2 linked regions of the Xenopus tropicalis genome follow. The protein of the gene in region 1 purifies or fractionates together with the protein of each later gene. This does not show direct contact. Links are inferred from orthologs where the notes say so. Each region holds a gene or a part of one and is shown on either strand. Other genes may lie near its edges.

Region 1 (4,401 bases):
TGATGGCCCTGGGGGGCCCTGCTGGCTACCAATGTACTAGGGCGGGCCCTGCTGGCTACCAATGTACTAGGGGGGCCCTGCTGGCTACCAATGTACTAGGGGGGGGCCTGCTGGCTACCAATGTACTAGGGGGGGCCCTGCTGGCTACCAATGTACTAGGGCGGGCCCTGCTGGCTACCAATGTACTAGGGCGGGCCCTGCTGGCTACCAATGTACTAGGGCGGGCCCTGCTGGCTACCAATGTACTAGGGGGGGCCCTGCTGGCTACCAATGTACTAGGGGGGCCCTGCTGGCTACCAATGTACTAGGGGGGGCACTGCTGGCTACCAATGTACTAGGGGGGCCCTGCTGGCTACCAATGTACTAGGGGGGGCCCTGCTGGCTACCAATGTCTCATATCTGTGAGTCCCTTGTACCGGTGGGAGGGGGGGCCCAGAAGATGTTGTTGTGAGGGGCCAGTGATTCCTGATGGCCCTGGGGGGCCCTGCTGGCTACCAATGTACTAGGGCGGGCCCTGCTGGCTACCAATGTACTAGGGGGGCCCTGCTGGCTACCAATGTACTAGGGGGGGGCCTGCTGGCTACCAATGTACTAGGGGGGGCCTGCTGGCTACCAATGTACTAGGGGGGGCCCTGCTGGCTACCAATGTACTAGGGCGGGCCCTGCTGGCTACCAATGTACTAGGGCGGGCCCTGCTGGCTACCAATGTACTAGGGCGGGCCCTGCTGGCTACCAATGTACTAGGGGGGCCCTGCTGGCTACCAATGTACTAGGGGGGGCACTGCTGGCTACCAATGTACTAGGGGGGCCCTGCTGGCTACCAATGTACTAGGGGGGGCCCTGCTGGCTACCAATGTACTAGGGGGGGCCCTGCTGGCTACCAATGTACTAGGGGGGGCCCTGCTGGCTACCAATGTATTGGGGGGGCCCTGCTGGCTACCAATGTACTAGGGGGGGCACTGCTGGCTACCAATGTACTAGGGCGGGCCCTGCTGGCTACCAATGTCTCATATCCGTGAGTCCCTTTGTACCGGTGGGAGGGGGGCCAGAAGATGTTGTTGTGAGGGGCCCATGATTCCTGATGGCGGCCCTGCACACACTATACCAGAGCCCAGCGGAACAAACTACAAGACGTTATTATACCATAGTGCTGCCCGGCGGTACCAGCTCTCTACCCCCTCACGTTACACGCCGCCTTTCCCGCCGCTCCTTCCTCACGTACAGCTCCTCCCTTTCTCTGACGTTTAGTTGATAGCCCCTCCCCCTCAGTGTCAGTTAGAGGGTCCCTTGTAGCACGATTGGTTGGAATGGCTGTCAGTCACAGCAGGTTCAGCGTGGTTTTTGTGAGGAAGCGTCACACCGCAGCCCCGCCCCCCTGCGCGTCACTAACACGGGCCGGATTGGCGCGGAATTTGTTTGTTGGGCTTCGCGCCTTTTCCTGACAGGATTGTGGGCTCCGGTCTCAGCGCTCTGTCCGCTTGTCTGTCTGTCCGCTTGTCTGTCTGTCCGCTTGTCTGCTCCCTCCCCCCGGCCCGGTGCGACCCATTCCCGTCTGAGCTGACCCGGTACCTGAGCCCCAGCGGCACCATGCATGTCATTAAGCGAGGTGAGTGCCCCAGGGTAATAACCCTTCTGTTCTGCCCCCCCGGCCCCTTCTGTTCTGCCCCCAGTCCTGCCCAGTCCCTGTGCCACACTCTATGCCAGTGCCCAGTTTTTCCCTTTCCTTCTGTCACTGTACTTACCCCCATACACTCTGCCTGTTTATTTACCCTCTTCTACTCTGTCCCCCTCCCCTTATATAGCCCCCCCTGCGCCCCCCTCCCCTTATATAGCCCCCCCCGCGTCCCCCTCCCCTTATATAGCCCCCCGCGTCCCCCTCCCCTTATATAGCCCCCCCGCGCCCCCCTCCCCTTATAATAGGCGCCCCCGCGTCCCCCCTCCCCTTATATAGCCCCCCCGCGTCCCCCTCCCCCTTATATAGCCCCCCCGGCGCCCCCCTCCCTTATATAGCCCCCCCGCGTCCCCCTCCCTTATATAGCCCCCCTGCGCCCCCCTCCCCTTATATAGCCCCCCCCGCGTCCCCCTCCCCTTATATATGCCCCCCGCGTCCCCCCTCCCCTTATATAGCCCCCCCCGCGCCCCCTCCCCTTATATAGGCGCCCCCGCGTCCCCCCTCCCCTTATATAGCCCCCCGCCGCGTCCCCCTCCCGCTTATATAGCCCCCCGCGCCCCCCCTCCCCTTATATAGCCCCCCCGCGTCCCCCTCCCCTTATATAGCCCCCCCCTGCGTCCCCTCCCCTTATATAGGCCCTCCCCGCGTCCCCCTCCCCTTATATAGCCCCCCTGCGCCCCCTCCCCTTATATAGCCCCCCCGCGTCCCCCTCCCCTTATATAGCCCCCGGCGCCCCCTCCCCTTTATCAGCCCCCCGCGTCCCCCTCCCTTATATAGCCCCCCGCGCCCCCTCCCCTTATATAGCCCCCCCGCGCCCCCCTCCCCTTATATAGCCCCCCCGCGTCCCCCCTCCCCCTTATATAGCCCCCCCGCGCCCCTCCCCTTATATAGCCCCCGCGCCCCCTCCCCTTATATAGCCCCCCGGCGCCCCCCTCCCCTTATATAGCCCCCCCGGCGCCCCCCTCCCCTTATATAGCCCCCCGCGCCCCCCTCCCCTTATATAGCCCCCCGCGTCCCCCTCCCCTTATATAGCCCCCCCCGCGTCCCCCTCCCCTTATATAGCCCCCCGCGTCCGCCCTCCCCTTATATAGCCCCCGCGTCCCCCTCCCCTTATATAGCCCCCCGCGTCCCCCTCCCTTATATAGCCCCCCGCGTCCCCCTCCCCTTATATAGCCCCCCCGCGTCCCCCCCAAGCCCCCGTCCCCCTCCCCTTATATAGCCCCCCCGCGTCCCCTCCCCTTATATAGCCCCCCCGCGTCCCCCTCCCCTTATATAGGCGCCCCCGCGTCCCCCTCCCCTTATATAGGCCCCCCGCGTCCCCTCCCCTTATATAGGCCCCCCGCGTCCCCCCTCCCCTTATATAGCCCCCCCGCGTTCCCCTCCCCTTATATAGGCCCCCCGCGCCCCCCTCCCCTTATATAGGCCCCCCGCGTCCCCCTCCCCTTATATAGGCGCCCCCGCGTCCCCCTCCCCTTATATAGGCGCCCCCGCGTCCCCCTCCCCTTATATAGGCGCCCCCGCGTCCCCCTCCCCTTATATAGGCGCCCCCGCGTCCCCCTCCCCTTATATAGGCGCCCCCGCGCCCCCCTCCCCTTATATAGGCGTCCCCCTCCCCTTATATAGGCGCCCCCGCGCCCCCCTCCCCTTATATAGGCGTCCCCCTCCCCTTATATAGGCCCCCCGCGCCCCCCTCCCCTTATATAGGCGCCCCCGCGTCCCCCTCCCCTTATATAGGCCCCCCGCGCCCCCCTCCCCTTATATAGGCCCCCCGCGCCCCCCTCCCCTTATATAGGCCCCCCGCGCCCCCCTCCCCTTATATAGGCGCCCCCACGCCCCCCGTCAGCTGATTCTTCTAAACTGGGCCCTGTGCCCTACCCTCCTCCTCACTGTGCCCCAGGTAGCCTTGCCCCCCCCCCCCCCCCCCATTCTCACTTGGTTCATTCTAGCCCCCCCCTTCCCTTTGTGCCATTCCATTCATCCAGCTCCCCATTTGCCCCCTGGGTGCCGGTATATCCGTACTGTGCCCCCACCCTCTCCCTCCCACACAGTCTCCAGTTTTTATTCTATTAGACATTTAGCTGCTTACAGGTTGCAGGGAGTGGCCGGTACATAAGGGAAACTATTACCCAATCAGTACTGAGCAGAATTCTGACTGTAGGGCATGTTACTGGGAGGGGTTGGGTGCTGCAGTATGGGGGGTATATGGGAAGGGTTGGGTGCTACAGGATGGGTGCTATATGGGTAGGGATGGGTGCTATATGGGTAGGGATGGGTGCTATATGGGAAGGGTTGGGTGCTACAGGATGGGTGCTATATGGGAAGGGTTGGGTGCTACAGGATGGGTGCTATACGGGAAGGGATGGGTGCTGCAGGGTCGGAGTTGTATAGGAGGGGTTGGGTGCTGCAGAATGGGGGTGCTATATTGGAGTGGTTGGGTGCTGCAGGATGGGGGGGGGGGGGGTACCGGGGAAGGATTGGGTGCTGCAGAAGGAGGTGGAGGGGTGAGTAGTGGAAAATGAAGTTATTGGGTAGTGAGGTGTAATTGCCTATAATTAACCAGAACTGTTTATACACTCTTAACTAAAGTAACCATTACCGCACCCATTATCCTTGTACTGATGTAGCCAGTGTGCTGGCACTTGCTATTATGATTGTGCTGGGCCTGCTGAGTGCCGCTCTTACTCTGCCAGTGTGGTACCCGCCGGTTACCCAGGCATTCCTTTCTGCTG
Region 2 (3,810 bases), on another chromosome or scaffold:
GGTCTTTTTTCAACCCTATGTAACTATGTAACTATGTAACTATATTCTCTGTAGTGCTGAGCCCTCAGCAACATGAACGGGCAGATTTATCAAAGAGTTGAGAGCTTATTGCAGTGATCCCCAACCAGTGGCTCAGGGGCAACATGTTGCTCACCAACCCCTTGGATGTTGCTCTCAGTGCCCCCAAACCAGGTAGTTATTTTTGAATTCCTGACTTGGGGGCAAGTTTTGGTTGAATAAAAACAAGATTTCCTACCAAATAAAGCCCCTGTAAGCTGATAGTGTGCATAGAGGCCCCTAATAGCCAATCACAGCCCTTATTTGGCTCCTCCATGAACTTTTATGGTGCTTGTGTTGCTCCCCAAGTCTTTTGGCTTTGGCTCACGAGTAAGAAAGGTTGGGGACCCCTGGCTTATTGCAGAAAAACACACCCTTGTTCTCTTCATTCCAATGGGATTTTTAGCAGTGTATTCATCAAATGGTGAACTCTCACTTTCACCCATTGATTAAATACGCAGTCCCCAGACTGACAGTGAAAACAAAAAGAGCCTTCTCTGACTGGAATGTGAGCAGCTTATACCTTCTGGACATATATTTCACTCTTAGGGCCGTATATTCACCGGTGATGTTGCCCAGGGCAACCAATCAGCAATTAGATTTCAACAGTTAGAAATCCAAAGCAAAACATCTGATTGGCTGCTGTGAGCAAGGTCACTGGTAATGCTTCACTCCACTTTTTACACAGCATGATAAATATACACTTAATACTCTGTAAAACACGGAGAATGTCACTGTCTCAAAAACTAGAAAATAACATGTAAACTGCTAAAGTGTTTAGAAGAGCGCTCTGTGCAATTTAACATGGATTTGTTCCAAGGGCTTACATTTCCTTTTATTGAACTGCAGTGGCATTTATAGCCATTCAGTGTGACCACATTTACCAAGTTCACATCCCAATATTGCCATGTGGGAACCTAACAGCGAGTTTGTTGTGAGCTTTTCATTTTATAGAAGAATTAAGATGCCTAACTGCATAGCTTGAGTTACCCTGAAACGTAGGGATTTGCCACTAATACAGAAGCTTTTATTTATGGCTGCACCCCATTGATGACAGAACACATCTGGTGGGGTGCTAGGTCATGCTGCTAGAGTGGAAGTACGGGGATACGAAGGGCCAGTTGCTGAAATGGCTGAAATGGGGTAGTTAAGCCACTGAGAAAAAAGAAAAGATGATGAGCAGGGAGGTTTCTAAACAGAGCAGGAAGTAAATAGTGCAAAGAAAAATGCCATTGTTGCACAGCTCTCTCCAAGTCTCCTGAATGCAAAAATGTAGCTGTCAGCAGGAAGGGTGACATGTGGCAATTTTATAGAAGACTATATGAAAGAATCAGAGCTGGGCAGAGTAGTACTGGCACCTTGCCTCACCTACCCATCCGCGTTTGGGTTCTGTTTCCCCTTGCAGGTTGATCAGGTGGACGATTGCTTCAGAAAGCTGAGCCTGCTGCCCCCATTCTGTGCCCTGGGCACTTGCCTCTGATGCCTATCCCTAGTTCCACCCCTGGAAATAATAGGCTTTCATTTTATTTCTTCCTTTTTGTTGCAGAGAGTTTTTATTCAATGCCATAGAAACGATGCCCTGTGTAAGGAAAAAAGCGCAGTGGGCACTAAGGTGGATATCCGATCGGAAAGCTTCCTTTGGTAAGTTAGCTGTTTGGATTGGGAGCCTGCTTACAGGGAGAATGTGGAACTTATTGTAAATCTACTTGCTGACCCATAGGAATGCCCAGGCTTGGTGGCATAAAGAGGCCCCACGGATTGGAAAGCCAAGAGGTGATACAGATTGGGGGTAGTTAAAACAGGCAGTGGTGGTCACGGGGACCCAGGCAACAGGAGGGGTCTGCATCCTCTATAGTTGAAAAGCTTTACCCCCCCACACGAAAGTAGTAGAGCAGCTGGGGAGGGTAGACGCAGGCAGGATATGCTGGCGGGGGTTGGGTATCCGGGTATAGTTCGCTGTGCACCGGGCCCGTCTGAATAGGGGGTTATGCCACTGAAAACAGGGTTTGCTTTACATATGTACAGTAATTGTAGGAAAACCAGATTTGTGATACTGCATATTACATTTTATATAATTTGTGCCAAATTGTTATAGGTCCCCAGGTGTTTACTTAAGTTTGGAAAAGATGTTCTGCAGTTGGAGAATAGTCAGACGTACAGGCTGGGGGTCTCTGGTATATCACATGCGTCAAAGAACCAAAAGTTTTCAGGGGGAAACACAGCTATTTATGACTTCTATTAACATTTCTTCATTTCCCAGGAGAGAGAGTGGTGGCATTCGCTGCAGTAGAAGGAATATTCTTCTCTGGATCCTTTGCTGCTATTTTCTGGCTAAAGAAACGGGGACTCATGCCTGGACTCACCTTCTCCAATGAGCTGATCAGTAGAGATGAGGTAAGATCTCTCCTGAGAAGTATAATGAATAGGTGCCACAGGGATCAGGTGACCTTGGGGGTAGGGAACCTGAGATGGGGCTGACATGGGAGGTTCAACAACATCTCAAAGGCCCTAGCTTTGGCCTTGAGGGCCACGGTCAAGATCATTTTATGATTAAGTAATGCTTATCTTCAACCCGTTTGTACTTAGAATAATGAGTTTTATATGTACTTATGTAATTCTTCAACCACAATTTTTTTTCCTTTTGTGACTATTTCCAGGGTCTCCACACTGACTTTGCCTGCCTGATGTTCCATTACTTGGTTAAGAAGCCTACAGAAGAGCGAGTCACTGAGATTATTGTTAATGCAGTCAGAATTGAGCAGGTAAGCCATAAACTGGCCACCAATAAAATAGTTTCATACAATTTTTAGAGCGTATGTGGGCTCTGTGTGGGCTCCGAATCATCCCAATAATTTTCGTACCGTGGCAATAAGTCTTTTAGTCGAATGACTAGATTGGAAACTTTCGTCAGATAACGATAAAATCTGTGCACGTAAAATCTGTGCACGTGTATCTGACGATTGCCTTGGGGGACCTACAATGCATTTCCATGAAGTCACTTTCATACGATTCTGCCAACTATTTCATGTTCAGAACATGCTCCGATTTGTTATTTTGAGGGCTTTATCCTACAGTTTCAGTAATTTTTTAGTAAATGTTTAAACCTACGATTGATATCCAAACGTTCATCGCAAGAAGACTAAAATCTGAAGTGTATGGCCAGCTTTACATCTGTGGTCTGGAGTTTGTGATCTGTCCGTGGAACGTACTTATTGGCACCGTACAGATTGGCCCCTGGCATTGGCCTCATTGCCCACCATACAGTACAAAGCTGAAGTAAATAAGGCAGCTGCTTGGGCCCCTGATGGCTGGGATCTAGATGTTAGAAGGGCAGAGAGGGCAGGAAATAGATTGTCGTAGGTGTATCATTTGGATATTGGAATTTTTAGTTATGTTGGTTTGCAGCACCTAAAATTTCTAATATCCAAATGATACACCCAGAACAGTCTATACTCCCAGATCGGAAACAATGTCTATGTATGGTACATATTTTTATTTAATGCGCCCTCCCTGTTCCTTTTGTTCATAAGCAGGGCTAGCGGGGAGGTACCAACTGATCCTTGCAGGGTGTTACACATATTTTCTATATTTAACCCCACAGGAGTTCCTGACGGAAGCCTTGCCAGTGAGTCTCATCGGGATGAACTGTACCTTAATGAAGACTTACATTGAGTTTGTAGCTGATCGGCTGCTTGTGGAACTTGGGTGTTCAAAGGTAAATGCCAACTTGCTATGAGATGCTTCCAAAGAAGG

What was found.
Region 2: the proteins of rrm1 (region 1) and rrm2b purify together in Homo sapiens (affinity purification with western blotting; 3 studies listed by BioGRID and IntAct, counting the BioPlex papers as one, with this or other methods). This does not show direct contact. The link is inferred for Xenopus tropicalis from reciprocal best matches to the Homo sapiens genes RRM1 and RRM2B.

The regions. Positions count from the first base shown.
Region 1 is NC_030678.2:178,116,120-178,120,520, reverse strand, and holds the start of rrm1 (ribonucleoside-diphosphate reductase large subunit), read left to right. Parts: upstream 1-1,399; 5' UTR 1,400-1,469; exon of another isoform or gene 1,470-1,501; 5' UTR 1,502-1,587; coding exon 1,588-1,606; intron 1,607-4,401. UniProt on the Homo sapiens protein: Provides the precursors necessary for DNA synthesis. Catalyzes the biosynthesis of deoxyribonucleotides from the corresponding ribonucleotides.
Region 2 is NC_030682.2:131,289,767-131,293,576, reverse strand, and holds part of rrm2b (ribonucleoside-diphosphate reductase subunit M2 B), read left to right. Parts: intron 1-1,603; coding exon 1,604-1,698; intron 1,699-2,317; coding exon 2,318-2,451; intron 2,452-2,714; coding exon 2,715-2,819; intron 2,820-3,658; coding exon 3,659-3,772; intron 3,773-3,810.